4 linked regions of the Anolis sagrei genome follow. The protein of the gene in region 4 purifies or fractionates together with the protein of the main gene of each other region. This does not show direct contact. Links are inferred from orthologs where the notes say so. Each region holds a gene or a part of one and is shown on either strand. Other genes may lie near its edges. The genes, in order: DYRK2, CEP78, ATMIN and UBR5.

Region 1 (8,030 bases), on a different chromosome or scaffold from region 4:
TGATTAACTTTTGCAGGTGATATCATTCCAATGTTGTTGCAACTCTGGAAGATCACCCAATACTGAAATCCAAATGCAGACAGTATCTCCCTCTCCACACAACCCTAATTCGAGCCACAGCATTGCAAAGCTTGGCTCTGGAACAGATTTTTAGTTCCAGGGATCAGTTTCAAAACATGTAAGCTAGAAAGTTGAATGCCCCTAAATATATACAGAGTGCCACACTGCCAGCAACAAATCCATCAGAGAAGGGAGATTCTAGACCGAGGAGCTGTCTTTGCATCAGAAGGCATCATAATTTAGATTCTAAAATCTCTTTTACAGTCCAACATATTTTTCAGGTTTGATGCAACAGCTAGAATCAATGCATAAAACCTCAACAGACCTTATTTCTACCCACCTAGAAATATATTCTGCCCTTCTCCACCTTCCATAAATAGATCATCATGCTTGAGAAGTTCCCTCCCTTGTAGCAGATTAGCTGCAACTTGAAGATTATGTGAGAAACCACAGCCTTGCAAATAATGCCAACACCTGTTTCCCTAGTGAATGGTGTTTACAAGGGCAGTGTCACACTCCAGCCTACTTTACTGTCTCTGGCTGTTCCACTGGAAATGGATCATCAGGTCTGGGGTGGTCTAACAACTAGTCTAAAATCAGGACAGTAAAGAAAGAGCAACACCCAAAAAGCAGGGAAATCCAGACAAGAATCAATCAAGGCCAGCTAACGTCTCCCAACAAAGAATCCCCCCCCCCCGACAGCAACTTGCCAGACTTTGAAGCTGCAAGGCCATTCAAAGCTAATCAAGGTGGCCAATTCCAACATTCACACTTGCCTCAAGCAGACAAGAGTTCTTTCTCCCACCCTGGACATTCAACAGATATATAAACCCCAGTTGCCTTGTTTCCAACAGATCCCTCAACCTCTGAGGATGCCTGCCATCAATGTGGGTGAAACATCAGGAGAGAATGCTTCTGGAACATGGCCATACATCCCGTAAAATTCACAGCAACCCAAAATAAGAACTTTTCTTTTAGTTCTGAGAGGTGAATCCTTTGTCATAAAACGACTAACTACATCTTCCAGAAACACTCTTATAACCACACTGCATTGACTAGACTGTACCAAAAACTTGTTGAGAAAATGACAGCCACCAGAAAGATGACCAAACCAGCAGTGGCTTTTCAGTCCAGCCACAAGGACCGTTCTTTCTCACCTCGTCAACCTCCTGAGCAGGCCCCTTTTTATTTTCCTTTGTTTCAAATCCATCACCCAGCACTGAAATCTTGAATGAGCCTCAGAGAGAAAGATGCAAAAGCCTCCTCCAGTTGTGATGTGAGCGATGCAACACCCTTGCATGGCTCACACAGGTGACCTGACTGGAGGGCTCCATCTCTCCTTGCCAAAGTGGCCCAGAGCGTTCATCAGTCTCCAGAGCGCCTCCAGACCTTGCTTCTCCCCTCTTACCCTTCTGCCCCTCTACAACGAAATCACAAGTACCTGTTGAAACCAGACAGGGAAGAGGACTAGGACGTGTTGAGACATGCCGGCGGTGGCGGGGAATTAATGGGGCTCCTCCATGCCCTGGAAAGCAAGCTCATGCCCACCTCCCACTCAGACAGGCTGGCTGGCAGCCTGACTGTACCTTGCAGATTGCTTGCTATTAATACCCAGGAAAGGAGGAGAAGGAGGAGCAGAAGCAATTGGGGGAGGCAGTGGAGGGGGGGGGGCTTATGAGTGGCTGGCATTCAAGTCTTCTGGGGATGGATGGGAGGGAGGAGGGTCCAAGGTTGGCACGGGGGGGGGGAGAGCAGAAGCAATTGGGGGAGGCAGTTGGGGGGGGCTTATGAGAAGCTGGCATTCAAATCTTCTGGGGATGGGGATGGAGGGGAGGGAGAGAGAGATAGAGCGAGGGAGAGTCCAAGGTTGACACTGAGCAGATCATATATATATACCCATCCCTCCAAAGCCCCCACCCTTAAATCCCGGCCTCGCTCTTCCTCACCGTGTGGGCAGCGCTGCTGGGCTTGAGCGGCGGCAAAGCGATGGGCGAAGGCGGTCCAGCGGTGCCCGGTCCGGCCCGGGAGGCCCCTCCGGCGCCGAGGCCTGGCGAAGGCTGGCACTGGAGGGCGCCCTCCCCTCCTCCTCCTCCTCCTGCTACTGCCCTGCTGCCTGAGGAGGGAGAAGAAGCCAGAAGAGAGAGGCTAAAGAGGAGAGCCTGAGAGGGTCCAGGAAGAGGAAGTGGGGGGGAAACACAACAGAGGGAGCCCCCCCGCCCCCTCCTCTATTGCGGAGGGGTGGGGGATGGGGTGCTCGCGAGGGGAGGGAGGGGCGATCCCTTCCCCTCGGGTCAACCTTCCTTCATCCACGGTCAACCCACACGCCGCAGAGGCAGAAGGGAGAAGCCAGGGGGGATTTGAGTGGCGTGCAGTCCCCTCCTCCCTCCCCCCTCCTTTCTCCGCTTGGTCTGGGGCCTCGATGGCAGGGAAGGGTCTTCACGCAGAGCCCGATCCAAGGCCAGCCCAGGAACCCCACTCCAAGTGGGTTTTTGCCTGTCCCCGTTTCCCTCAAGGGGGGAAGAGATGACCCTGCAACGCCGACTATAGAAGCGTCGCTGTCCTCTAGGAGCCCTTCCACACAGCCCTATAGCCCAGAAGATCAAGGCAGAAAATGCCACAATATCGGAGTGTGGACTTAGGGCCCTTCCACACAGCCCTATAGCCCAGAAGAACAAGGCAGAAAATGCCACAATATCTGCTTTGAACTGGGTTATCTGAGGGCCCTTCCACACAGCCCTATCTCCCAGAAGATCAAGGCATAAATCCCATATTATCTGAATGTGGACTCAGTTCAAAGCAGATATTGTGGGATGTTCTGCCTTGATATTCTGGGGCTGTGTGGAAGGGCCCTAAGTCCACATTCAGATCTTCTGCCTTGATCTTCTGGGATATAGGGCTGTGTGGAAGGGCCCTGAGTCCGCACTCAGATATTGTGGCATTTTCTGCCTTGATCTTCTGGGGCTGTGTGGAAGGGCCCTAAGTCCACATTCAGATCTTCCGCCTTGATCTTCTGGGATATAGGGCTGCGTGGAAGGGCCCTAAGCCCACGCTCAGATATTGTGGGATTTTCTGCCTGGATCTTCTGGGCTGTAGGGTTGCCCTTGGACCTGCGGCGCCGGGCCTTCCTCCAAGGGCCTTTCCCACTGGGGGCTGGGCCCCGCTGCCCTGTCCAACCCCTCGCTCAATCTCACCAGCAGCAGCGGCTCCTCCAGCCCCGGCAGCAGGTTTCCTGGTGGTTAACATGGCCGCTGGTGGGGAAGGACTGGGGAGCGCATCTCAGGGCTGCTGCTGCTGCTGCTGCTGCTCCGCCTGCGCCTCCTCCTCCTCCGCCTCCTTCTCTTCCTCCTGGCGCTCCTCTCCTCCGCGCTGGGCGCCGGCGTTGCCTCGCGAGCCCCCAGGCCCCGGCCCCTCCGCGGCATCCGTCCCCCAAGAGCCCGGGCCCGCCGCCGGGCAGAAGCAGCCCCGCGCGCCCCGCCCGGCCTCGGCCTCCGCTCTCTCCTCCTTCCCCTTCTCCTCCTCCTCCTCCTCCTCCTCCTCTCCTCCTTGCTCCGGAGGCACCAAAGGCATCACCCGGGCAGCGTCCAGGGTCCCCCGGTGCCTTCGCGGGAGGAAGGGGAGGGGGGCGGCAGCATGAGGGGCTCCCTTCTTCCACCTCCCTCCCTCCCTCTTGCCTTCCTTCTCGTTCTCCTCCCCTTCAGAGAGACAAACACAGGCGGAGCGACCGCCTCGAGCCCAAGGAGGGAGGGGGGCAGCCAAGTTAAGCCCCGCCCCCTCGCCCTTAGCCCCGCCCCTCACACTTTCCCCGAACCCTCTCCTCTCACTCCCTGGCTCGGATCTGACAGAATGGCAGCCCCTCCCCGGCGCGACACACTCTCCCCTTCAAAGAGGCAAACACAGGCGGAGCGACCGCCTCGAGCCCAAGGAGAGGGGCTAGCAAGCCAAGCCCCGCCCCTCGCCCTTGGCCCCGCCCCTCACACTTTCCCCGAACTCTCTCCTCACTCACTGGCTTGGATCTGACAGAGTGGCAGCCCCTCCCCGGCCCTGGATTGAATTGAAAGGCGAGGGAGGCGGCGATGTGCAGCCCCTCCCTCTTCCCTTCCTCCTCCTCCTTCTCCTCCTCCTCCACACACGTAGGCAGTGGCTACTGCTCGCCCCGGGCCACGCAAAAGAGGGGGAAGAGGGTGCTCGCCTCAGGCCCTTTCTCCTTTCCCCCCCGCGGCGCCTTCACTTTGTGAGAAGAGAGAGCGGCCGTCGACGAGAAACAAAAGATTTCAGATTGTAGGGAGGCCAAATAACGTGGGGCACGTCCTGAAAGAGAAAAGGAGCCGCTCTTCCAAATGGGGCGCGAGGCCATAGAAGGAGGGGGCGAGGAGACGCAATCAGCATCCTAACAATAGTAGTATTTCCTGCCCAAATCTCCTCGTGGCTCGAGGCGGGTTACCACATCATAGAATCATAGAGTTGGGAGAGACCTCATGGGCCATCCAGTCCAACCCCTTGCCTAGAAGCAGGAAAATCGCATTCAAAGCACCCCCGACAGATGGCCATCCAGTCTCTGCTTAAAAGCCTCCAAAGAAGGAGCCTCCACCACACTCCAAGGCAGAGAGTTCCACTGCTGAACAGCTCTCACAGTTGGTTCTTGTGGGTTTTTTCGGGCTATATGGCCATGTTCTAGAGGCATTTCTCCTGACGTTTCGCCTGCATCTATGGCAAGCATCCTCAGAGGATGCTTGCTATAGATGCAGGCGAAACGTCAGGAGAAATGCCTCTAGAACATGGCCATATAGCCCGAAAAAACCCACAAGAACCTAGTGATTCCAGCCATGAAAGCCTTCGACAGCTCTCACAGTTCTCCCTAATGTTCAGTGGAATGTTCTTTTCTGTAGTTTGAAGCCATGTTTCTGCATCCTAGTCTCCAGGGCAGCTGAAAACAAGCTTGCTCCCTCCTCCCTATGACTTCCCCTCACATATTTATACATGGCTATCATGTCTCCTCTCAGCCTTATCTTCTGCAGGCTAAACATGCCCAACTCTTTAAGCCGCTCCTCATAGGGTTTGTTCTCCAGACTCATGATCATTTTAGTCACCCTCCTCTGGACACATTCCAGATTGTCAACATCTCCCTTCTATTGCAGTGCCCAGAATTGGACACAGTATTCCAGGTGTGATCTAGCCAAGGCAGAATAGAGGGGTAGCATTACTTCCTTGGATACAGACACTAGATTCCTATTTATACAGGCCAAAATCTCATTGGCCTTTTTTTTTTTTTTGCCACCACATGACATTGTTGGCTCATGTTTAACTTGTTGCCCATGAGGACTCCAATATCTTTTTCACACATACTGCTATCGAGTCACACATCCTCCATTCTTTGCATTTCATTTTTTTCTGTCTAAGTGGAGTATTTTGCATTTGTCACTGTTGAACTTCATTTTGTTAGTTTTGGCCCATCTCTCTAATCTATTAAGATCCTTGTGAATTCCGCTCCTGTCTTCTGGAGTATTGGCTCTCTCTCCCAATTTGGTGTCGTCTGCAAACTTGATGATCATGACTTCCAACCCTTCATCTAAGTCATTAGGAGCCCCCAGTGGCGCAGTGGGTTAAACCCCTGTGCCGACAGGACTGAAGACCAACAGGTCGCATGTTCGAATCAGGGGAAAGCGCAGAGGAGCTCCCTCTATCAGCTCCAGCTCCTCATGCGGGGACATGAGAGAAGCCTCCTACAAGGATGATAAAACATCAAAAACATCTGGGCGTCCCCTGGGCAACGTCCTTGCAGATGGTCTATTCTCTCACACCAGAAGCAACTTGCAGTTTCTCAAGTCGCTCCTGACACGACAAAAAAAAAATCCAAGTCATTAATAAAGATGTTGAACAGGACCGGGCCCAGGAGGGAACCCTGTGGCACTCCACCCATCACTTCTTTCCAGGATGAAGAGGAAGCATTGGTGAACATCTGGTGAGGAAGCCTTGGTGAGCACATCTCTAAAGATGAAACATCTCTGATGAAGGTCAGGTCTAGGACAGAGTGGGGAAAGATGGACTGGATTTTCCTCTGGAGAAAAAAGGCTAGACCAGGCATGGGCCAACTTGGGCCCTCTGGGTGTTTTGGACTTCAACTCCCACCATTCCTAACAGCCTCAGGCCCCTTTCTTTTCCCCCTCAGCCGCTTAAGTCCAAAACACCCAGAGGGCCTAAGTTTGCCCATGCCTAGGATAGACCCTGGAAAAATCAAGGGAAGCTTCATTCTATCATTATTATTCTATCATAATCTTGTAACTGAGATGCAAGGTGGACTCTTAGCAGGTTATTTTTGAAGCCACACTGAGAGGATGCCCATTGCCCAACCTAAGTGACCTCTTCTAAGGCTGTAGAAGTGTCTTTCTCTATGGGGAAATCTTGCTCTGTGTTCCTTCTCCAGAGCCCAAAGGAGAAAACCTCTCACCCCCCTTCTTTGCCTGCTACTTGAAGGAATCCCTCCCTCTCTTCGTGGGCGGAGAGTTGTTTATAAACAATGCACTGGAAAGGCAGAAGGAAGAACTTCCTTCTGAAACTCTAGAGAGAAAGAGAAAAAAAACTTTAGTGTGAGATAAGCAGGGAACAGGGAGGATGATAAGTTATCTCTTGTCCTTCTTTGGGTTTGTGCTTTCCCTTTCGAAAGAGGGCAAAGGAAAGCTTTGGAGGCAGCATAGTGTAGTGGTTTGAATGTTGGGGTGTGGGACATCCACATGCCCAATGTCTTCTTGGCAAGAGTTGTCCAGAAGGGGTTTCTTGCGACCCTCCTCAGAAGTCAAGAGTGTGGCTTGCCCAATGTCTCCAGGTGGGTTTCCAATATGATTTGAGACTGGAGCCCTGTTCTCCAGAGTCATAAGGTATATCTCTCTAAACTGTAATATGAAGACAGTTTGACACCACTTTAACTTCCTGGAGGTAATGCTATGGAATGCTGCGGATTACAGTTTGATGCAGTTTGATCTCTCCCATCAAGTGCTCTTTGGAAGAGATGTCTAAAGCCCTTGAAAACTGCCATCTTCTGTGAATCCATAGCATTGAGCCACGGCAGTTAAAGGTTTTTTTTTCATTTTTGAGAAACTGCAAATCACTTCTGGTGTGAGAGAATTTGCTGTCTGCAAGTATGTTGCCCAGGGGACGTCAGGATGTTTTACCATCCTGTGGGAAGTTTCTCTCATGTCCCGGCATGAGGAGCTGGAGCTGACAGTCAGGAGCTCACCCTGCTCCCTGGATTCAAACCACCAACCTTTCCGTTAGCAGTCCTGATCATTGTGCCACCACATGAAATTGCATTCATTCTACACTGTAGATCAGGTAGGTGCAAATTTCGGCCCTCAGGAATTGTGGGAGTTGAATCCCAAAACACCTGGAGGGCTAAAGTTTGCCCATTCCTGCTGTAGATGCACCTTATGACTCTGGAGAGCAAGACGTGAATCTCCTATAAACCACAAAAACCCACATTAGGTATGTCACACACTCTTGGCCTCGGAGGAAAACAATGGCAAAGCTCTTCTGGACAAATTGTGTCAAGAAAGCCCTGTGATAGTTTTGCCTTAGGGTAGCCCTAGGTCAGACATGACTTGAAGGCACATGGCAACAGCAAAAGAAATGTAAAGAGGGAGATCTTGTTCCTTTAACAAAACATACTCTTAATAAAACACAAATATTCCCATTGTGGAAATGAATAAAAGTGTAAGCAGTACAACACTTACTCCAGCAATTTGCCAAATGCTAACTATTGAGTGAGCATGTTTCTTTTAAACTTACTGTATATGTGGCAGATAGGAGTGGTCCATTTATAGGATTGCTGAAGGGAGAGGGAGATAAGGATGTGCTGGTGAAGAAAGAAGGAAAAAGCAGCTGTCTCAGTCTAGATAAGTAAGAGGCAAGACTGGTAACTATGCAGAATAAGGAACCCCTAAAGAAATAGTCAAGAGTTCTAACTTTATTCTTCACCA
Region 2 (7,455 bases), on a different chromosome or scaffold from region 4:
CATTGTATATACATATAATATTTATAATATTGTAATGTAATGCAATATAATAATATATTACAATTATATATTTATATTATATGCAATATTACTAATAATCTATATAAATAAAAATGTAATGTTTATTTGTGGGATTAACATAACTCAAAAACCACTGGATGAATTGCCGCCAAATTTGGACCCAATACACCTACTAACCCAAGGAGTGACCATCACTCAAAAAATGGTTTTGTCATTTGGGAGTTGTAGTTGCTGGGATTTATAATCAACCTACAATCAAAGAGCATTCTAAACTCTACCAATGATGAAACTGAACCCAACGTGGCACATAGGACTCCCATGACCAACATAAAACACTAGAAGGGTTTGGTGGGCATTGACCTTGAGTTTGGGAGTTGTAGTTCACCTACATCCAGAGAGCACTATGGACTCAAACAATGATGGATCTGGGCCAAACTTGGCATGAATACTCAATATGCACAAATATGAACACAGATGGGCTTTGGGGAAATAGACCTTGACATTTGGGAGTTGTAGTTACTGGGAGTTATAGTTCACCTACAATCAATGAGCATTCTGAACCCCACAAATGACAGAATTTGGGCAAACTTCCCACACAGAACCTCCATGATCAACAGAAAATACTTAAAGTCATCCAGTCCAACTCCCTTCACCTGGGCAAGAAAACATAATCAAAGCCCGTAAGAAGTCAATTTTTAAAAAAAAAACACATTACAACGCATGCACAAAAACACATATATACATATACACACACACATATATACACATGCACAATACATATACACAGACTGGGCCACAGCAATGCGTGGCAGGGGATGCCTAGTATTACAATATAATGGTATAGTACAATATAGTAATATTTAATACTGATATTGTACCATGCTAATAATATACTATATTGTATGTATATATATATATCTTGTAAGCTGCTCTAAGTCCCCTTCGGGGTGAGAAGGGTGGCATATAAATGTTGCAAATAAATAAAATAAAATAAAATTTTTACCGTGGCAACCCATCATGCCATTTCATCTTTGCAATCAGATTCATTTTCAGCTGGATCGATTGGCTGTTTGAAGCAAGTTTGGATGATGCAATTAACCAGCTTGATGAGCATTGAGTAGCCTTGCAGTTGCAAAGCCTGGTCGTTGTTGCTTCAAACAGACAAGGATTCTATCTCTCATCTAGGACATTCCACAGACATATACCCCACTTGCCTCATTTCCAACAGACCTCTGAAGATTTTTTTTCATGTCAGAAGTGACTTGAGAAACTGCAAGTCACTTCTGGTGTGAGAGAATTGGCTGTCTGCAAGGACGTTGTCCAGAGGATGCCTGGATGTTTTGATGTTTTACCATCTTTGAGGGACGCTTCTCTCATGTCCCCGCATGGGGAGCTGGAGCTGACAGAGGGAGTTCATTCCTACTCTTCCCTGATTTAAACCTCCAACCTGTCCGTCTTCCCTGCTGCCGGCACAAGGGTTTAACCCACTGCAACACCAGGGGTTCATACTTCTGAAGATGCCAACAACAAATGCAGGCCAAACATAAGGAGAGAATGCTACTGAAACGTGGCCCTACAGCCTGGAAAACTCACAGTAACCCAGTGATTTGGCCATGAAAGCCTTCGACAACAAAGATAGCATGATGCTTTGCCATTGAAAGAGTCCCTACCTGGGTCTGCATGTCCCTGATGGTGCAAGCTCTTGATGGCGATCGAAGTCAAGGTCTTGTTGTGCCTGAGCGCAGCCAGGAGAGGCAACCAGTCTGCACCTTTGATACGGTCTGCGTTTATATCAATCACGCCTTCAGGCTTTTTGGCCTGCACGGACACGAGGGGAGCGCAGCCTTGAACTGCACACAGGTGCTCATAATGGGAGTAAAAGTCCAGGCTGCACTGCCTCCTTATTTGGACTGATTCGATCATTTCTGGAGAGTCAACACTAAAAAGGAGGAAAACAAACACAAATATATCATTAATGTCATTTTAACTACTACTACTACACACATATAATAAGTTTGAATAGGTTGCTGTACGTTTTTCGGGATGTTATGACCATGTTCCAGAAGCATTCTCTCCTAACATTTTGCCTGAATCTATGTTTGAGGCAACATTCACACTTGCCTCAAACAGACAAAGGTTCTTTCTCCCACCCTGGACATTATTCCACAGATATATAAACCCAATTTTCCTAGTTTCCCAACAAACCTCACAACCTCTGAAGATGCCTGCGATGGATGTGGGCGAAATGTCAGGAGAGAATGCTGCTGGAACATGGCCAAACAGCCCAGAAAACTCACAGCAACCCAGTGATTCCAGGCATGACATCCTTAGACAATACAATAAGGTTGAATTCTTATCCTCTCTCCTCAAAGCTTTAAATTAAATTAAATTAATTAAAATGAATAGATAAAGCCTTTAAATGCATAGAGTAATAACATAAAACCATTGCAAACATATATATTAAAAGAATCATAGAATCAAAGAGTTGGAAGAGACCTCATGGGCCATCCAGTCCAACCCCCTGCCAAGAAGCAAGAACATTGCATTCAAATCACCCCTGACAGATGGCCATCCAGCCTCTGCTTAAAAGCTTCCAAAGAAGGAGCCTCCACCACACTCCGGGGCAGAGAGTTCCACTGCTGAACGGCTCTCACAGTCAGGAAGTTCTTCCTCATGTTCAGATGGAATCTCCTTTCTTGTAGTTTGAAGCCATTGTTCCTTGTCCTAGTCTCCAGGGAAGCAGTAAACAAGCTTGCTCCCTCCTCCCTGTGGCTTCCTCTCACATATTTATACATGGCTATCATATCCCCTCTCAGCCTTCTCTTCTTCAGGCTAAACATGCCCAGCTCCTTTAGCCGCTCCTCATAGGGCTTGTTCTCCAGACCTTTTATCATTTTAGTCACTCTCCTCTGGACACATTCCAAAGAGATAGGCATTTAAACCACGCTGAAGCCATTCAAAGCCAATACAATGCTACTCCTATTTGGTTACTTACAAGCAGGAGGCCAAAACATCCAAGGCTGGCTTAGGCTCCTCCCCCTCGCGCGTGTGGTAACCGTTGCCTTGGTTCCCCAACTGCCCTTTTCCTACTCCCACCCTCCCACGTGACGCGGAGAAGAGGCTCTGATTGGAAGAGAGGGAGAGGAAGGGGGCGGGACCACCAAAACACGCCCCTTTCCTCTCTACAGACACTTTCATTCTTGCTCTTTTCCTCACACATAACCCCGCCCCTTTTTGTAGTCCTCCCACGTGATTCATAAGCGAAGCTTCTGATTGGTCGGTCCGTACAAACGCGGCCCTTTTCTTCCCCCTCCCATTCCCTTGTTTCCTCAGACATAACTCCACCCCCTTGCCGCTACCGTCGTCACGTGATGCGTTGAAAGGTGCCACATGATTGGCCATCCCGTAAAACCACGCCCCCTTTGAATCTAACGCTCCTCCCCTTATTTTGCCATTCTTAGTTAATTTAAATAGATGGCGGGAAAGCTTGCATTTCACAAATTCCTTATTATAAAGGGATATATATTTGAATATATAATATATAAGAATATATAATATATAAGAAAGTAGGGAAGCCAAACATTCTATATTTGGGGCTGAGGACTTTTCACAGAGACAAGAACCATTCTTATTTATTTTATTTATAATATTCATAATATTTTGGCTTTCCTACTATATATATGCGTGTGTGTGTATATATTAAAGTAGGGATTCCAAATATGCTATGTTTTGGGCTGAGGACTTTTCATAGAAACAGGAAAAAATCTTATTTATTTTATCTATTATTATTATTATTATTATTATTATTAACTTTATTTGTACCCCGCTAGCATCTCCCGAGGGACTCGATGCGGCTTACACAGGCCGAAGCCTCAGAACACAATACAGTAAAAACATAACACAACAATAAACAAAGCAAATCAAAATAGTTAAGCAGAATAACAACAGTGACAATACATCAGGATACTTTAAAACTGGGCCGGCCAGAGCAATGGGGTACAGGGTTAAAAGTGCTGAAATGGCAGGAGGCACGTAGGGTTAAAATAGTCTGGTGTGCAGCAATATTAATTGTACTAAAGTGCTTCTAGGACTTGGGATGGGGAATTCCTAATCTGAGATTATAATATTTTTATAATATTATTTATAATATTGTGTGTGTGTATGTATGTATATGTATGTGTGTGTGTGTGTGTGTGTGTATATATATATATATATATATATATATATATATATGGGGACTTTTCACAGAGACAAGAACCATTCTTATTTATTTTATTTATAATATTATTTATAATATTTTGACTTTCCTACTATATATATTTGTGTGTGTGTATTAAAGTAGGGATGTCAAATATTCTATATTTTGGGCTGAGGACTTGTCACAGAGACAGGAAAAATTCTTATTTATTTTATTTATAGTTATAATTATAGAGAGAGAGAGAGAAAAAGTAGGAAAGCCAAAAATTCTATATTTTGGGCTGATGACTTTTCAGAAACAGGAATAATTCTTATTTATTTTATTTATAACATATTATTTAACACATCAAATCACCTCTCAAAGAAAGATTCCCCCAGGCACTTCCAAGACATTAAATGCTAATGAAGGTGGTCAATTGAAACATTCACACCTAGCTCCAGCAGACAAAAGTCCTTTGTCCCACCCTGGTCATTCCACAGATATATAATCCCATTTTCCTACTTCCAACAGACCTCACTACCTCTGAGGATGCTTGCCAGAGATGCAGGCGAAACGTCAGGAGAAAATGCCTCTAGAACATGGCCATATAGCCTGGAAAACCTACAACAACCCAAACATTCTATATTATGGGCTGAGGACTTTTCACAGAGACAGGAAAAATTCTTATTTATTTTATTTATAGCATATTATTTAATATTTACTATAATTAATAAGCTATATTTATTTGCGGCGCCGCAATAGGTTAACTCAGGCATGGGCGAACTTGAGCCCTCCAGGTGTTTTGGACTTCAACTCCCACAATTCCTGCTAGGTTGGTAGGGAAGCTAGTGCTGACAGAGGGGAGCTTCTCTCATGTCTCTGCATGAGGAGCTGGAACTGACAAAGTGAGCTCACTCAAGCTCTTCCTATATTCGACCTCTGATCTGTCAGTCTTCAGTCCTGCCAGCACAAGGGTTTAATCCATTGCGCCACCAAACGCATCATTGCCCAAACACGAATCAAGGAACATGAAAGACACTGCAGACTGATTCAAATAGAGGAGTCAACCACAGCAGAGCGCCTGATGAACCAACCTGGACACAGCATCTTATTTGAGAACTCAGAAATGCTGGACCACTCTCACACCACCATGTCACAGAGAAGCCATTGAAATCCACAAGCATGTGGACAATTTCAACAGAAAGGAGGAAACCATGAAAATGAAAAAAAATCTGGCTAGCACTATTTAAAAAATCCTCTAGAATTAGGACAGTAAATAAAGCACAACACTCAAAAAGCAGGGGAATTCTAGAAAAGAATCAATCAGGGCAAGTTTTTTTTCATGTCAGGAGCAACTTGAGAAACTGCAAGTCGCTTCTGGTGTAAGAAAATTGGCCATCTGCAAGGACTTTGCCTAGGGGGACACCCGGATTTTTACGATCCTTGTGAGAGGCTCCTCTCATGTCCCCACATAGAGAGCTGGAGCTGACAGAGGGAGCTCATCCATGCTCTCTCTGGATTCGAACCTGTAATCTGGCAGATGGTATTTGTGGCACAAGTTCCAATGAATCATCTGAGCAACCGTGTTATGCCTCTGCTTGTAGTCTGTCTGCGCAATCTTCTTGCAGCAGCTGAGAATGTGATCTATTGTTTCATCTGCTTCCTTGCAGAGTCTACATTTGGGATCTGTTGTCGACTTCAATTCTGGCTTTGATGGCATTGGTTCGAATGGCTTGTTCTTGGGCTTCCAGAATCAGGCCCTTCTTTGTCTCCTTTTTCAAAGTTCCATTTGTGAGCCACAGCCATGTTTTTTCTTTGTCAATTTGGCTCTCAATTTTTGCCAGAAACTGTCCATGGAGTTTTGTTTTCTTCCCTCCCTTCTCTTTTCCTTTCCTTTCATGGAGTTATTATTATTATTATTATTAGGAATATTTATATCCCACAAAGACCCACAGTATTTTTTTTAAAAAAATCAGTTATACAGATATTTAAATATACAGATATTTAAATAGAATTAAAACATACAATTAAAATGACTGGAAGCACTGAAAAACTTGTTCTTTGCAGATAAATCGAGACCCATTTGTGATTTTGCTGAAGTGGTGTCAAAACTGCATTAATTCTATAGCGTAGAAACACTCAATGTCTTCAAAAGCAGGCCACAAATTTCAAACATAAAAACAGAAGAAATCTATACTAATTTCATGTAAAATCTCTTTTTCTGATTATCCAAAAATACCCATTTGAAACAAAGGGAACATAACAGTTGAAACACTTCCACGGTTTATTGAAATATGGCTGCGAGAATAATTTTTTTCCATAGTTTTTTGGGTTTTACTCATGATTATTGGGATAAAATGTATTATTACGAGGCGGACATCTCTCCACTGTGCTTTTACATGAAAGGGGGGGGGGAGAATGTCAAGTAAACATATTGAGTCTTTTCTGTACAAATACACAATATTTACAACACACATTTACAACATGGATGTATACATTATTTTTTATATATATATAAAAAGAAGTATCTTTGAAATATCACTTGGCACCACACTATACAACAGGCATGGGCCAACTTGGGCCTTCCAGGTGTTTTGGACTACAACTCCCACAATTCCTAACAGCTGGTAGGCTGTTAGGAATTGTGGGAGTTGTAGTCCAAAACACCTGGAGGGCCCAAGTTGGCCCATGCCTGTTCTATAGTCTTTCACTATAACAAATGAGTGGTTATAGCATAAGCAACAGATATAACATTTAGGGACAAAACTAAATCATTTTCTTAGTCCGGACTAGTTTTCCTCAATGGGTCAACTTCAGGAGAAATTAACCCAAAGGATTCCAGCCACATTGAGACGACTTCACTTACTTTACTATGATTCTGGAGTCTTTATTATGCTGACCACTGGATGGAATATATTCTTAATCCATTTAGGGGAAAAAGGCATTATCATGCATACTTGAATGGATATGTTGTTAAATACCACGACGCACAACTAGCATGCCGGATTAATTACACCTGGCATAGCAAAGCCAAGGACTAAAGTAGGTAAGAGTGGATTTCAGTTGCTTCCACAGACTTGGCTTCACAAGGACGATAATATTATTGTTATTTTAATTCTTCTGGGGCTTTTTTGGCTCCACTGTGTCTTTTACATGTTTTGTATTTTACTATGTTATTTCTTGAATTTTCTGGGGACTATTCTTACTCTATAATAGTCAGCAAGCTACGCTCAGTAACCTTTCCTCATTTTCTGGCC
Region 3 (8,190 bases), on a different chromosome or scaffold from region 4:
TGACATGTAGAAAAAGGGGCAAAGCGTGGGCTCGACAAAGCAATTTTGGATTGAAACTATACAACAAGAATCAATCAGGGCCAGCTAACACCTCCAAACAAAGGATTCCCCCAAAATACAATCAGCCAAGTTTTGAAGCTGCAAGGCTTGACAAAGCAATTTCGGATTGAAACTATACAGCAAGAATCAATCAGGGACAGCTAACACCTCTAAATGAAGGATTCTCCCAAAATGCAATCAGGCAAGTTTTGAAACTGCAAGGCCATTAAATGCTAATCAAGGTGGCCAATTACAACATTCACACTTGCCTCCAACAGACAATTCTCCCACCCTGAACATTATTTCACAGACATATAAACCCCACTTGCCTAGTTTCCAACAGACCTCACAGACCAATGGAACAGCTTCGGATTATGATTCTGGCTGGCATGATTTTAATAACTTGTTTTAAATTGTGTTGTTTTAATGTTTGGTTTTAATAAAATGTTAATTGTATTGTATGTTTATGTTTTGGCCTCAAATTGCTGAATAATTTGTAATGCCGCTATGAGTCCCCTTCAGGGTAGAGAAGAGCGGGATATAAATGAAGTTAAATAAGATCTTGGAGTCCTCATGGACAACAAGTTAAACATGAGCCAACAATGTTATGTGGCGACAAAAAAAGCCAATGGGAGTTTGGCCTGCATCAATAGGAGCATAGTGTCTAGATCTAGGGAAGTCATGCTCCTCAAGCTCTATTCTGCCTTGGTTAGACCACACCTGGAATATTGTGTCAAATTCTGGGCACCACAATTGAAGAGAGATATTGACAAGCAGGAATGTGTCCAGAGGAGAGTGACTAAAATGATCAAGGGTCTGGAGAACAACCCCTATGAGGAGCGGCTTAAGGTGCTGGGCATGTTTAGCCTGAAGAAGAGAAGGCTGAGAGGAGATATGATAGCCATATATAAATATGTGAGAGGAAGCCACAGGGAGGAGGGAGCAAGCTTTTTTTCTGCTTCCCTGGAGACTAGGACACAATGGAACAATGGCTTCAAACTACAAGAAAGGAGATTCCATCTGAACATGAGGAAGAACTTCCTGACTGTGAGAGCCGTTCAGCAGTGGAACTCTCTGTCCCAGAGTGTGGTGGGGGTTCCTTCTTTGGAAGCTTTTAAACAGGCTGGATGGTCATCTGTCAGGGGTGATTTGAATCCAATATTCCTGCTTCTTGGCAGAATGGGGTGGACTGGATGGCCCATGAGGTCTCTTCCAACTCTGTGATTCTATGATTCTATGAAGCCGCTGGGTGAGATCATCCGGAGTTTTGATTTGGATTATGGCACTACTAGAATATGGGATCCAATAAGTTTTTGCCAACATAATGTGAACCTTAACAGGAAAAAAGTATTTTCTTATAACATTTAAATGACTTGTGTGGGTCTGGTGAACATAACTGCCTTTAAAGTGATCAAGGGTCTGGAGAACAAGCCCTATGAGGAGCGGCTTAAAGAGCTGGGCATGTTTAGCCTAAAGAAGAGAAGGCTGAGAGGAGACATGATGAGGGCCATGGATAAATATGTGAGGGGAAGTCATAGGGAGGAGGGAGGAAGCTTGTTTTCTGCTGCTCTGGAGACTAGGATGCAATGACACTCAACTGGTGCTGAAGATGGAAGGCCGACCGGACTCTGTACCCGATTGTTTCCATCAGTGCCTCGAGGCTGTTACTGGATGGCTGTGTGCCAGCAGGTTGAGGGTGAATCCAGCAAAGACGGAGATCCTATGGCTGGGTCGACCGGGCAGTGGGGACATCCAACTGCCTACCCTGGGTGGTGAGGCGCTACGCCCGTTATCATTGGTAAAGAGTCTGGGAGTCCTTTTGGACCCTCTGCTGACGATGGAGGCCCAGGTCTCCGCCGTTAGCAGAACCGCCTTTTCTCATCTGCGGCAGGCTAGACGGCTGGCTCTTTACCTGTCCAGGGACGACCTAGCTATGGTGATCCAGGCCACGGTTATCTCAAGACTGGACTACTGTAACGCCCTCTACATTGGCCTTTCTCTGTCGGTGATCCGGAAGCTCAAGTTGGTACAAAATGCAGCTGCTCGGCTTCTTGCGGGAATTCCAATGAGATGCCACATAACCACAATCTTACTGCAGCTGCATTGGTTACCAATTGAGCACCGGATCACTTTCAAAGTGATGGTACTCACCTTTAAGGCCTTGCATGGTCTGAGGCCGATGTACCTGATGGACCGCCTCACCCCCTACCAACCCCAGAGATCCCTCCGTTCTGAGGACCAAGATTTGTTGGAAATTCCCAGTGTCAAGACCTTGCGTCTAATGGCAACCAGACGCAGAGCCTTCACAGCAGTGGCACCATCACTCTGGAATACTCTGCCACCTGAAGTCCGTGCCTTGCGGGACTTACCAGCTTTCCGCAGGGCATGTAAGACATACCTGTTTCGACAGGCTTTTAATGTTTGATACTGCTGTTTTTAAATTGTTTTAAATTGCTTTTAACTTTTGTTAGATTTTAGCCATTCTTGTAAGCCGCTCTGAACCCCAGGGGAGTGGGGGCATAGAAGTCCGAATAATAAATAAATAAATGGAACTATGGCTTCAAACTACAAGCGAGGAGATTCCATCTGAACAGGAGGAAGAACTTCCTGATTGTGAGAGCCGATCAGCTGTGGAACTCTCTGTCTTGGAATGTGGTGGAGGCTCCTCTTTTGGAGGCTTTAAACAGAGGCTGGATGGCTATCTGTCGGAGTGGGATTTTCCTGCTTCTTGGCGGAATGGGGTTGGATTGGATGGCCCATTTCTATGATTCTATGAGAGAGTGTGGAGTCCCCGGTGGCGCAATGGGTTAAAGCACTGAGCTGCTGAGCTTATTGATCGAAAGGTCGCAGGTTCGATTCCAGGGAGCGGTGTGAGCTTCTGCTGTCAGCCCTAGCTTCTGCCAACCTAGGAGTTCGAAAACATGCAAATGTGAGTAGATCAATAGGTACCGCTCTGGCGGGAAGGTAACAGCGCTCCATGCAGTCATGCCGGCCACATGACCTTGGAGGTGTCTACGGACAACGCTGGCTCTTCGGCTTAGAAATGGAGATGAGCACCACACCGCAGAGTCAGACATGACTGGACTTAATGTCAGGGGACTACCTTTACCTTTACCTTACGAGAGGGTGAAAACTCGAGGGCAGGAGGAGGAGAACCACCGGCAGGCAGGCAGGCAGGTCCTGAGGGGAGGCCTGGCGGGGAGTGCTGAGGAGAAGGCCCGCAGGCCGGGCTCACCTGAGGAGGAGGCACCAGGCGGTGGGCCTTGCTGAGGTGCATGCTCAGCGCCGGCGGGTTGGGCAGCACCTTCCCGCAGCCGGGCACCGAGCAGGGGATGTGGCTCCGCACCGCCCGGGAGAGCTCCGCCACCGAGGGCCTCACCAGCTCCCACGGCGAGGTGGAGGCAGGCGAGGGGGATGATGGCGAGGAAAGAAGCCCTCCGCGGCGAGGAGGCCGCCCGAGCCCCACGCCCCTCCGCGACAGGCACCGCGCCGCCGCCATCTTGCGCCCGGAAGTGCCCGGAACCAAGCGTCGCAGCGCTTCCGGTGCGAGCCGGCGGCAGGGACAACCCATCATGCATATTCATGAGCCGGCGCCTTCCTTAGGGCACGCCCCCTGGCGGTCTCCACTAGCAAGACTAGCTTCCTCTTTTGCCCAGGACAAAGCCACGCCCAGATGTGTTGGAATAACATTCCTAAAGTATCAATATAAGCACATCAAAAATACTGATATTCTGATATTGTGCTGTGCTAATAATATATATTGTATACACATATAATATTGATAATGTAATGTAATGCAATATAATACCAATAATTCCGGCAAGGAAGACTCCAGCAAGACATGGAGCGAGAGTTGCCAGGTGTACAAGCTGGGTTTAGAAAAGGCAGAGGAACGAGAGACCAGATTGCCAATATCCCGATGCTGGATAATGGAGAAAGGCAGGGAGTTTCAGAAAAACATCTATTTCTGCTTCATTGACTAAAGCCTTTGACTGTGTGGATCATAATAAACTGTGGCAAGTTCTTGGTGGGATGGGCATACCAAGCCACCTTGTCTCTCCTGAGGAATCTGTACAAGGACCAAGTAACAACAGTCAGAACTGACTACGGAACAGACTGGTTCAAGATTGGGAAAGGCGTACGGCAGGGTTGTATACTCTCCCCTGACCTATTCAACTTGTATGCAGAACACATCATGCGATGTGCGGGGCTTGATGAATGCAAAGCTGGGGTAAAAATTGCTGGAAGAAACATCAACAACCTCATATGCAGATGACACCACTCTGATGGCCGAAAGCGAGGAGGAGCTGAGGAGCCTTCTAATCAAGGTGAAAGAAGAAAGCGCAAAAGCTGGGTTGCAGCTAAACATAAAAAAAACCCAAGATTATGGCAACAAGAATGATTGACAACTGGAAAATAGAGGGAGAAAACGTGGAGGCCGTGACAGACTTTGTATTTCTAGGCGCAAAGATGACTGCAGATGCAGACTGTGGCCAGGAAATCAGAAGATGCTTCCTTCTTGGAAGGAGAGCAATGTCCAATCTCGATAAAATAGTAAAGAGCAGAGACATCACACTGGCAATAAAGATCCGCAAAGTCAAAGCAATGGTATTCCCTGTAGTAACCTACGGATGTGAGAGCTGGACCTTAGGGAAGGCTGAGCGAAGGAAGAGAGATGCTTTTGAGCTGTGGTGCTGGAGGAAAGTTCTGAGAGTGCCTTGGACTGTGAGAAGATCCAACCACTCCATCCTCCAGGAAATAAAGCCCGACTGCTCACTGGAGGGAAGGATACTAGAGACAAAGTTGAAGTACTTTGGCCACATCATGAGGAGACAGCAAAGCCTAGAGAAGACAATTATGCTGGGGAAAGTGGAAGGTAAAAGGAAAAGGGGCCGACCAAGGGCAAGATGGATGGATGCCATCCTTGAAGTGAGTGGACTGACCTGGGGGTGGTGACGGCCGACAGGGAGCTCTGGCGTGGGCTGGTCCATGAGGTCACGAAGAGTTGGAGACAAATGAACGAATGAACAACAATAATATATATTGTATACACATATAATATTGATAATGTAATGTAATGCAATATAATACCAATAATGATAAAAGTAAAGTAATAAAGGGAGTAAAAAAAATAAATGTAATAATAATAATAATAGAGTAAAATAATGGCAGGGACCTAACAGAAGCTGAAATGATCAAAAGAAGGTGGCGAGACTATACAGAAGGTCTGTATAGGAAGGATAATAATATCGAGGATAGTTCTGACGGTGTGGTGAGTGAATTAGAACCAGACATCCTGAGGAGTGAGGTTGAATGGGCCTTAAGAAGCATTGCTAACAACAAGGCAGCAGGAGATGACGGGATCCCAGCTGAACTGTTTACAATCTTGGAAGAAGATGCTGTCAAAGTGATGCATGCCATATGCCAGCAAATATGGAAAACACAAGAAAGGCCATCAGACTGGAAAAAATCAACTTATATCCTCATACCAAAAAGGGGAATGCTAAAGACTGCTCAAACTTCCATACAGTGGCCCTTATTTCTCATGCCAGTAAAGGAATGCTCAAGATCCTGCAAGGAAGACTCCAGCAAGACATGGAGAGAGAGTTGCCAGATGGACAAGCTGGGTTTAGAAAAGAGAAGAGGAACAAGAAACCAGATTGCCAATATCCGCTGGATAATGGAGAAAGGCAGGGACTTTCAGAAAAATCTATTTCTGTTCTATTGACAAATCTAAAGCCTTTGACTGTGTGGATCATAATAAATTGTGGCAAGTTCTTGGTGGGATGGGCATACCAAATCTCTCCTCTCTGGGAGAGGAGCCGATTTTTTGTTGTTACTAAATTCCAATCATGAGACAAACGCTGGGTTCAATGACACTTGCATACCTGTTCAAGGACATCTTATTTTCCATGCATTCTTTGGAAGAATATCAACATGAAATAATGATGACGCAGAATAAACTTTACAAACAAAAAAATTATTTATATTTACAGATGAGAAGATATATACAAGTTGATCAATTTTCTGAAAAGTCAAATGTATACATGACTAAAAACCGCAATGCAGTAATGAAAAATAGGCAGTCACATTGCAATGTCTTGCTGTTATAATTTTAAAGTACATATAATGTAATAAATAGATAAAATGAACACCTTTCACTAAAATCCAAGTCTATTTACGTGGCTGAATAAAATCCCCTTTTGTCCATTATTTTTGTATGGTTAAATATAACACCAGGGAAATTTATTTATTTATTGGGTTGCTATGAGTTTTCTGGACTGTATGGCCATGTTCCAGAAGCATTCTCTCCTGGTGTTTCGCCCACATCTATGGTAAGCATCCTCAGAGGTTGTGAGGCCTGTTGGAAACTAGGCAAGGGAGGTTTATATATCTGTGGAATCTGGTAGAAAGAATTCTTGTCTGTTGAAGGCAAGTATGAACATTGCAAGAGTTCTTTCTCCCACACTGGGCATTCCATTTGCATAGTTTCTAACAGATTAGACAACCTCTGAGGATGCCTGCTAAGGATGTGGATGAAATGTCAGGAGAGAATGCTTCTGAACATGGCCATTAGCCCGGAAAACTCACAGCAACCTAGTGATTCGAGCCATGAAAGCCTCCGACAACACAATTATAGGTTGCTGTGAGTTTTCCAGGCTGTCTGGCCATATTCCAGTAGCATTACTCTACTGTGACATGGCCACAAAGCCCAGAAAACTCACAGCAACCCAGTGATTCCAGCCTTGAAAGCCTTCGACAACACAATTATAGGTTGCTGTGAGTTTTCCAGGCTGTCTGGTCATATTCCAGTAGCATTCTCTCCTGATGTTTCACCCACATCTATGTCATTTATTTATGTCATGTTTAGCCCATCTTTCTCAACCGAGGGGACTCAAGGCAGCATACAGCTCCGGCAAGAATTCAAAGCCAGTAAAAACCAACAGTAAAAACATATCCCACAGTTAAAACGTTTTAATATTTTACTCTCCAAAATATATAACCTTTCCAACCTTTAGGTATCAAATTTGTATTAATTAAAGGCATGCATCTCTTCAAAGTGCACGGGACACTACAGCGATGCCAACATATTCATTCTTTGCACTGTGTGCTGAATATGGGTACGTATTTTTGTCCAAAAATAGTCGCTTTTTCAGACGCCGATAACATCTCAGCGGTAAAAATATTATCCCAGATTCAGCACAATTATATAACCCACACTCTGAATTCTGCATGTCATATTTATTTAATTTGATGCAAAACTGCAGACTTAACTGTGGGAAAAAAAGATTTATAATGGTTAGAGATAGTCAAGAATGCCCATAAAAAAAAGAAGAGGGAAAGGAAAACAACAATTTGAAGAAAAAGAAATACGTAATGCTATTTGGACAAGCTGGAATGTTGCAAAATTAGAAATAAGTGATTCCTGAAAAGGTTAAATATAATGGAATAATGTTAATGAAACATTTTATTGTGACTTCAAACATCTTTTGGTATATGCAAATTGGGTTTTTTAAAAAACATAAAACAATCAGAAAGCTCAAATCGCAAGAAATGCTTTAAGGCCTCTTCCCATTCTTATGGGGTTATTCTTTATTATTGTAAAATCATGATGTTCCCGGTGGCACAATGGGTTAAACCCTTGAGTTGGCAGGACGGAAGTCCGACAGGTTGGAGGTTCGAAACTGGGCACAGTGCGGATGAGCTCCCTCTGCCAGCTCCAGCTCCCATGTGGGGACCTGAGAGAAGCCTCTCACAAGGATGGTAAAACATAAAAACACCCTGGCCTCCTCTGGGCAATGTCCTTGCAGATAGTCAATTCTCTCACACCAGAAGCCACTTGCAGTTTCTCAAGTCACTCCTGACACGGAAAAATAAATGATATGTGTAGACAAATTTTGAAATTCTCCTGAGTGTGAAGATCTATTCCCTGCCTTGCAAAGAGGTTCTTGAAAAAAAATTAAATTAGGATTTTTGCATATGATATGGAGGAGGGGGAAGCAACTGGGGACACTACTACTATTATCTAGATTGAAACAGTTTTCCCTAAAACATAGTAACCAATAATTCTAAGTAAGAATAGTTTGCATGGATTTTGCCTTAACGAGACTGTTTTATTGTTTTAATGATTGTTTTATTGCTTGTGGATGT
Region 4 (7,699 bases):
TTTTGTAGGATTTCTTTACCAGTTACTTGAGAGTTCTGGTTAACTGAGCATTTAATATATGTGTGTATGTATATGTACAATTATGCAGTTCCGCATTTTACAGGCGCGCAAGTACCCAGATGGAAATCCCCATCAGGAGGGAGCAGGGCTAAGCCTTCCCTGTTTCACCTTAGGAATTTCCAAAACACCTGGATGGCCGAAGTTTGCCTATACCTGATCTACCTATCTATGTCCACACACATATACAGAGAGAGATGGTTTGCCCATAAGAATTTCCAAAACACCTGGAGGGCCAAAGTTTGCCCATGCCAGATCTAGTATCCACCTATCTATCTCCATACACATATACAGAGAAGTATGGTTTGTCCATAGGAATTTCCCAAACACCTGGAGGGCCGAAGTTTGCCCATACCTGATCTAGTATCTATTCCCATATACATATACAGAAAGATATGGTTTGCCCATAGGAATTTCCAAAACACCTGGAGGGCTGAAGTTTGCCCATACCTGATCTAGTATATTCGCCATACACATATACAGAGAGATATGGTTTGTCCATAGGAATTTCCCAAACACCTGGAGGGCCGAAGTTTGCCCATACCTGATCTAGTATCTATCCCCATATACATATACAGAGAGATATGGTTTGCCCATAGGAATTTCCAAAACACCTGGAGAACCAAAGTTTGCCCTTAGGAATTTCCAAAACACCTGGAGGGCTGAAGTTGGCCCATACCTGATCTAGTATCTATCTCCATACGCATATATACAGAGAGATATGATTTGCCGATAGGAATGTCCAAAACACCTGGAAGGCTGAAGCTTGCCCATACCTGATCTAGTATCTATCTCCATATACATATACAGAAAAATATGGTTTGCCCATAGGGATTTCCCATGGCACCTGGAGGGCCGAAGTTTGCCAATACCTGATCTAGTATATATCGCCATACACATATACAGAGAGATACGGTTTCCCCATAAGAATTTCCAAAACACCTGGAGGACCAAAGTTGGCCCATACCTGATCTAGTATCTCTCCCCAAACATATATAAAGAAAGATATGGTTTGCCCATAGGAAATTCCTAAACACCTGGAGGGCCGAAGTTGGCCCATACCCGATCTGGTACTTATCTCCATACACATATTCAGAGAGATATAGTTTGCCCATAGAAATTTCCAAAACACCTGGAAGGCTGAAGTTGGCCCATTCCTGATGTAGTATCTATCCCTATACATATACAGAGAGATATGGTTTGCCCATAGGAATTTCCCAAACACCTGGAAGGCTGAAGTTGGCCCATATCTGATCTAGTATCTATCTCTATACACATATACAAAGACAGATGGGTTGCCCATAGAAATTTCCAAAGCACCTGGAAGGCCGAAGTTTGCCCATAGCACATCTAATATCCACCTATTTATTTTCATTTACAAATATACAGAGAAATATAGTTTGCCCATAGCAATTTCCAAAACACCTGGAGGACCGAAGTTTGCCCATACCTGATCTAGTATCTATCGCCATACACATATACAGAGAGATATGGTTTACCCATAGGAATTTCCCAAACATCTGGAGGGCCGAAGTTGGCCCATACCTGATCTAGTATCTATCGCCATACATATATACAGAGAGATATAGTTTGCTCATAGGAATTTCCAAAACACCTGAAGGGCTGAAGTTAACCCATACCTGATCTAGTATCTATCCCGACACATGTACAGAAATATATGGTTTGCCCATGTCCAAAACACCTGGAGGGCCGAAGTTTGCCCATACCTGATTTAGTATCTATTCCCATACACATATACAGAGAGATATGGTTTGCCCATAGGAATTTCCCAACACCTGGAAGGCTGCAGTTGGCCCATATCTGATCTAGTATCTATCACCATACACATATACAGAGAGATATGTGTCTCTATTATAGTTATGTGCATCTATTTCCATATACATATATACAGAGAGATATAGTTTGCCCATAGGAATTTCCCAAACACCTGGAAGGCCGAAGTTGGCCCATAGCAGATATAGTATCTATCCCCATACACATATACAGAGAGATATGTGTCTCTATTATAGATATGTGTCTCTATTTCCATATACATATAAACAGATAGATATAGTTTGCCCATAGGAATTTCCCAAACACCTAGAGGGCCGAAGTTGGCCCATACCTGATCTAGTATCTATCCCCATACACATATACAGAGAGATATGTGTCTCTATTATAGATATGTGTATCTATTTCCATATACATATATATACAGAGAGATATGGCTTGCCCTAGGAATTTCCAAAACACTTGGAGGGCCGAAGTTGGCCCATACCTGATCTAGTATCTATCCCCATACACATATACAGAGATATATGTCTCTATTATAGATATGTGTATCTATTTCCATATACATATATACAGAGAGATATAGTTTGCCCATAGGAATTTCCAAAACACTTGGAGGGCCGAAGTTTGCCCATACCAGATCAAGTATCTATCCTCTTACACATATACTTAAAGATATGGTTTTGCCCATAGGAAATTTCTAAACACCTGGAGGGCCGAAGTTAGCCCATACCTGATCTAGTATCTATCCCCAGACACATATACAGAGAGATATGTGTCTCTATTATAGTTATGTGCATCTATTTCCATATACATGTATACAGAGAGATATAGTTTGCCCATAGGAATTTCCCAAACACCTGGAGGGCCGAAGTTGCCCATAGCAGATCTAGTATCCACCTATCTCCATATACACATATACAGAGAGAGATGGTTTGCCCATAGGAATTTCCAAAACACCTGGAGGGCCAAAGTTTGCCCATACCAGATCTAGTATCTATCATCCCATATACATATAGAGAGATGGTTTCCTTCCCAGGCGGCCCCCTCCCTCCTCCCAAGCACACGGCGAAGCCCCTCCCCTTCCTCTCCCCCCCCTTTCTTTCCCGAGGTGATAAAGGGGGGGGGAGGGCGACCAGGCCTCCTCCCTCGTCTCCATGTTTCCTCACCGGTCATTGAGCTGGTCCTCGGTGCCCGGGAGCGGGTGCACCACGAAGTGGATCGAGGTCATGTTCCCCTCTCTCCCTCCTCCTTCACTCGAGGGAAGGCGGGCCGGGCGCACAAGGAGGAGGAAATGGGGTTGGCGGGGGGTGAGAGAGACAACTGGGCGAGAGAAAAGGCTCCTTCAGGGCCTCCCTCAGGGCCTCGTGACGGGGGAGAAAAACACACGAGAGAGAGAAACGGAGAGCGCGGCGGGGAACGGGCCCGCAGCTCAGCACCCGACTCTCACAAGATCCGCCATCTTAACTTCCCTCCTTGCGCCGGGGAGAGAGAGAGAGGAATGGGCGGGGTTACGTCTCCCTCGCCCTCCGCGCGCCCCGCAGCCAATGGCGTTCTGGCTTCTCACTGGAAAGGCGGCAACGGCGATGTGAACCCAATCCGGATTGGTTCGGGCTCGACGCGATGGCGTCATCCGGAAAAGGGAGGGGGAGGGAGACTTTTTTTTCCTCTTTCGGCTGAGGTGCGCGCGCCGCCTCAGAGTGTAGGGCGCGGAGGCGACGGAGGGAGGATGTCCCTCCTTCCTTCCTTCTTTCTTTCCCTCTTTCTTTCCTTCCTTCCTTCCTTTTCTCTCCGTTTGTTTGAGGCGCCGCCCCTTCTGAGGAGGCGCTTCACTTTTCTGCCTTCGCCCTCTGCGTTGCTAGGACGAAAAGAAACACTTTGGGAAATAGAAAGCAAAAAATAAGAATTAAGAGCCTGAGGAAAGTGAAGGACGCCATTTTCCAACGTTTTTCAGGCCTTCTGTGAGGCCTTTGATGTCCTATTTTTCCTGAATATTGGATTATTATTATTTTTTACTTTTCCACTTTCTATTTGTATTTATTTCCAAAACTAGTACTATTCATTCAAGAATCTATCATTGGATTCTCTGGATTATATATTTACTTTAATTGTATATTTGGTCTGTCATAGAAAACGGGTCTGTGTGTGAGTGTGTTGCCATCACCCCTGCTTTGTGGGCCTAAAGCCTTAATGCAGTGTTTTGCAACCTGGGGGTCGAGACCCCTGGGGGGGCTGCGAGAGGGTGTCCAAGGGGTCGCTGAAGACCATCAGAAAACACAGTATTTTTTCTTGGTCATCTGGATTACGTGTGGAAAGTTAGGTCTAATTCTATTGTTGGTGGGGTTCAGAATGCTCTTTGATTGTAGGTGAACTATAAATCCTAGCAACTACAACTCCCAAATGCCAAGGTCTATTTCCCCCAAACTCCACTAGTGTTCACACTTGGACATGTTGAGTATTTGTGCCAAATTTGATCCTGATCATCATTGTTTGAGTCCACAGATGTAGATAAACTACGACTCCCAAACTCAAGATCCATGCCCACCAAACCCTGCTAGTGTTTTATGTTGCTCATGGGAGTCCTGTGTGCCAAGATTGGTTCAGTTCCATCATTGGTGGAGATCAGAATGCTCTTTCATTGTAGGTGAACTATAAATCCCAGCAAGTACAACTCTCAAATGATAAAACCAGTCCCTCCCCCCAACCCCACTAGTATTCAAATTTGGGCATATTGGGTATTTGTGCCAAATTTGGTCCAGTGAACGAAAATACATCCTGCATATCAGATATTTACATTACAATTCATAACTAGCAAAATTACATTTATGAAGTAACAATGAAAATAATATTATGGTTGGGGGTCACCACAATATGAGGAACTGTATCAAGGGGTCACGGCATTAGGAAGGTTGAGAACCACTGCCTTATTGCCTGATATACAAATACAAAGGACGATATTGTACATCTATATTAGGCATGGGCAAAGTTGGGCCACCAGATGTTTTGTACTTCAACTCCCTCTTCTTCAGGAAGAGGCCTGAGGCTGTTAGGAATTGTGGGAGTTGAAGTCCAAAGCACCTGGAGGGTCCAACTTTGCCCATTCCTGGTCTATACAGATATTTATTTATTTACGACATTTATATGCAGCCCCTCGCATCCCAAAGGGGACTCGGAGCGGCTTACAAGGCATATATACATACCATATATTATTAGCATAGTACAGTATCAGTTTTAAATATTGTTATATTGTAGTATATCAATTATACCATATTATTAGTAATGGGCTGAGAATGGCGGTCAATAAGTGCATCTAATAAATAATTATAATATATTATTAGTAGTATTATATTGCATTACATTATAATATTATAAATATTATATGTATATACAATATATATTATTAGAATAGCACAGGGGACAAGGTGGAACTGTCCCTTGCCCCCCCCCCCTTCAATCCGGGCCAGAGTGGCAGTTGGTGCTGGGGGGAGGGGTCTCCAGCTGATGGCATATGCGGGAGACGATGGTGCTGTCCAGGCCTGTAGCGAGGGGGGTGGGTGGGTTAGGGGTTCTCCCCCCCCCCAAAATGTTTCAGATTTTTTAAAAAAAACTGGTTTACTCATGAATTTTAACTGGTTAACCAAATCCCCATGCTAAGTCTATGAGATACAAAAGATTAAGAGTCCCTCCAGAACTTCAAGCACTATCTCAAGCAAATATTGACAATTTATTCACACTGTCATTACTTGCAGGAATAGCCGATGTAGCGAAGCAACCAAGTTGGGGGGGGGGGGGGGAGGGCGTGTTGAATGCTCTCATTAAGGAGGCCAGATTTGGTGGAGGTGGTTGACAGGGGTGGAGCTGCAGGCTGCTCTGCCCCCTGCTGTGCTCTTTGGTTCAGTGTGAGCTAGGAGGCAGGTTTCAACCCGCCCCCCGAAAATTTCGACCCCTCCCGAATTTTCTTTCTGGCTACGGCCCTGGTGCTGTCCCCTGGTCTCCCCTCTCTTCAATCCGACCCAGAGCAGCAGTTGGTGCTGGGGGAGGGATGTCCTGCATTCTTGACTCATGATTACTAAACTTAACTCTTGTCTTTTAGGTGTCCCAAAAACCATTTTTCTCTTAACCGTATATACTCAAGTATAAGCCAGCCTGAATATAAGCTGGGGCATGTAATTTTGCTGCAAAAAACTGGGAAGACATCTTGACTCGAGCATAACACGAGGGTGGGAAATGCAGCAACTACTGGTAAATTTCAAAATAATAATCGATACCAATAAAATTACATTAATTGAGGCATCAGTAGGTTAAATATTTTTGAATATCTGCATAAAACAAAGATGTTGGTTGTTCATTCATTCAGTCGTTTCCGACTTCGTGACTTCATGGACCAGTCCACGCCAGAGCTCCCTGTTGGTCGTCAGCACCCCCAGCTTCTTCAAGGTCAATCCAGTCAGTTCAAGGATACCATCCATCCATCTTGCCCTTGGTTGGCCCCTCTTCCTTTTTCCTTCCATTTTCCCCAGCATCATACTCTGATAAAACCGTCCAACTCTTGATTAATCCATTATTCTAATCTTCAATGTAAGTATGCTTATGTATCCCAACTTCTGCCAACCTAGCAGTGATACAGTATGTCATGCCTTGTATATTTTTACAAAGTGTCTTGGAATTGCCTCCAAATTTCTTAATAAACTAGAATGATGATCTTGGTAATAATTTAAATTTGTCTCTTTTCTCTTTTTTTAGATTTAATGTTTCAAACGCTTGCAAGGAACCTCAAGTGTACAAACATGCTATTTCTGATGCTCGCTGTGTATTTGATACGACTGTAAGTGAAGTGTTGCATCTATAAATACATGCTAAATAAATACAGATAATCCCAAGAGATTCAACTCTAAATATAACAAAGTCCTTTTAATTTGTAATGTTAATTTTGAGGTTCATTTGACATCTAATCAACATTCTTGCATAAAGAGGCATTATGCATAAGAACGAAATAAGTAACATATGTGTCCTTATATGGGCCCCTTGGTGGCACAGTGGGTTAAACCGCTGAGCTGCTGAACTTGCTGACTGAAAGGTTGGTGGTTCAAATCTGGGGAACAGGGTGAGCTACCACTGTTAGCCCTCACTTCTGCCAGCCTTGCAGTTTGAAAACATGCAAATGTTAGTATATCAATAGGTACTGCTCCAGCAGGAAGGTAATGGTGTTCCATGCAGTCATGCTGGCCACATGACCTTAGACAACGCCAGCACTTCGGGTTAGAAATGGAGATGAGCACCAGCTCCCAGAGTCGGACACGACTGGACTTAATGTCAGGGGAAAACCAATCTTCCAGTATTCATAAAGAAAGTAAAATAATAAATGTAATAAAATAAAAATAGAGTAAAATAATGGAAATGTAATAATAACAGTAATAATAGAATAAAACAATAAATGTAATAATAACTCAGTGGTTCTCAATCTGTAGATCCCCTGGTGTTTTGGTCTACAACTCCCTGAAATCCCAGCCATTAGGATTTCTGGGAGTTGGAAGTCCAAAACATCTGGGGACCCATAGGTTGAGAACCAGTGTAATAACTAATAGAGTAAAATAATAAATGTAATAACAATAATGAAGTAAAATAATAAATATAATATTAGAGTAAAACAATGTAAACATAATAATAATTGGAGTAAAATAATAAATGTAATAATAAATGTAATAATAAAGTAATGTAAATGTATTAATAAATAGAGTAAAATAATAAATGTAATAAAATAGTTATAATAACCCATCAAAATAATAAATAACTTTGACTTCAGTATAAACTGGGGGGGGGGGGCTTTTTCAGCCCGAGAATATATGGAATT

The links.
Region 1: the proteins of UBR5 (region 4) and DYRK2 purify together in Homo sapiens (affinity purification with western blotting; 3 studies listed by BioGRID and IntAct, with this or other methods). This does not show direct contact. The link is inferred for Anolis sagrei from reciprocal best matches to the Homo sapiens genes UBR5 and DYRK2.
Region 2: the proteins of UBR5 (region 4) and CEP78 purify together in Homo sapiens (affinity purification with western blotting; 3 studies listed by BioGRID, with this or other methods). This does not show direct contact. The link is inferred for Anolis sagrei from reciprocal best matches to the Homo sapiens genes UBR5 and CEP78.
Region 3: the proteins of UBR5 (region 4) and ATMIN purify together in Homo sapiens (affinity purification with western blotting; 3 studies listed by BioGRID). This does not show direct contact. The link is inferred for Anolis sagrei from reciprocal best matches to the Homo sapiens genes UBR5 and ATMIN.

The regions. Positions count from the first base shown.
Region 1 is NC_090025.1:142,756,744-142,764,773, reverse strand, and holds the start of DYRK2 (dual specificity tyrosine-phosphorylation-regulated kinase 2), read right to left. Parts: upstream 3,423-8,030; 5' UTR 3,304-3,422; coding exon 3,252-3,303; intron 2,174-3,251; coding exon 2,007-2,173; intron 1,626-2,006; exon of another isoform or gene 1,547-1,625; coding exon of another isoform or gene 1,502-1,546; intron 1-1,501. UniProt on the Homo sapiens protein: Serine/threonine-protein kinase involved in the regulation of the mitotic cell cycle, cell proliferation, apoptosis, organization of the cytoskeleton and neurite outgrowth. Functions in part via its role in ubiquitin-dependent proteasomal protein degradation.
Region 2 is NC_090025.1:190,094,562-190,102,016, forward strand, and holds the start of CEP78 (centrosomal protein of 78 kDa), read right to left. Parts: upstream 3,141-7,455; 5' UTR 3,017-3,140; intron 1,961-3,016; 5' UTR 1,945-1,960; coding exon 1,692-1,944; intron 1-1,691. UniProt on the Homo sapiens protein: Centriole wall protein that localizes to mature centrioles and regulates centriole and cilia biogenesis. Involved in centrosome duplication: required for efficient PLK4 centrosomal localization and PLK4-induced overduplication of centrioles.
Region 3 is NC_090028.1:11,179,932-11,188,121, forward strand, and holds the start of ATMIN (ATM interactor), read right to left. Parts: upstream 3,552-8,190; 5' UTR 3,539-3,551; coding exon 3,275-3,538; intron 1-3,274. UniProt on the Homo sapiens protein: Transcription factor. Plays a crucial role in cell survival and RAD51 foci formation in response to methylating DNA damage. Involved in regulating the activity of ATM in the absence of DNA damage. May play a role in stabilizing ATM.
Region 4 is NC_090024.1:30,051,117-30,058,815, reverse strand, and holds the start of UBR5 (E3 ubiquitin-protein ligase UBR5), read right to left. Parts: upstream 3,358-7,699; 5' UTR 3,080-3,357; coding exon 3,018-3,079; intron 1-3,017. UniProt on the Homo sapiens protein: E3 ubiquitin-protein ligase involved in different protein quality control pathways in the cytoplasm and nucleus. Mainly acts as a ubiquitin chain elongator that extends pre-ubiquitinated substrates.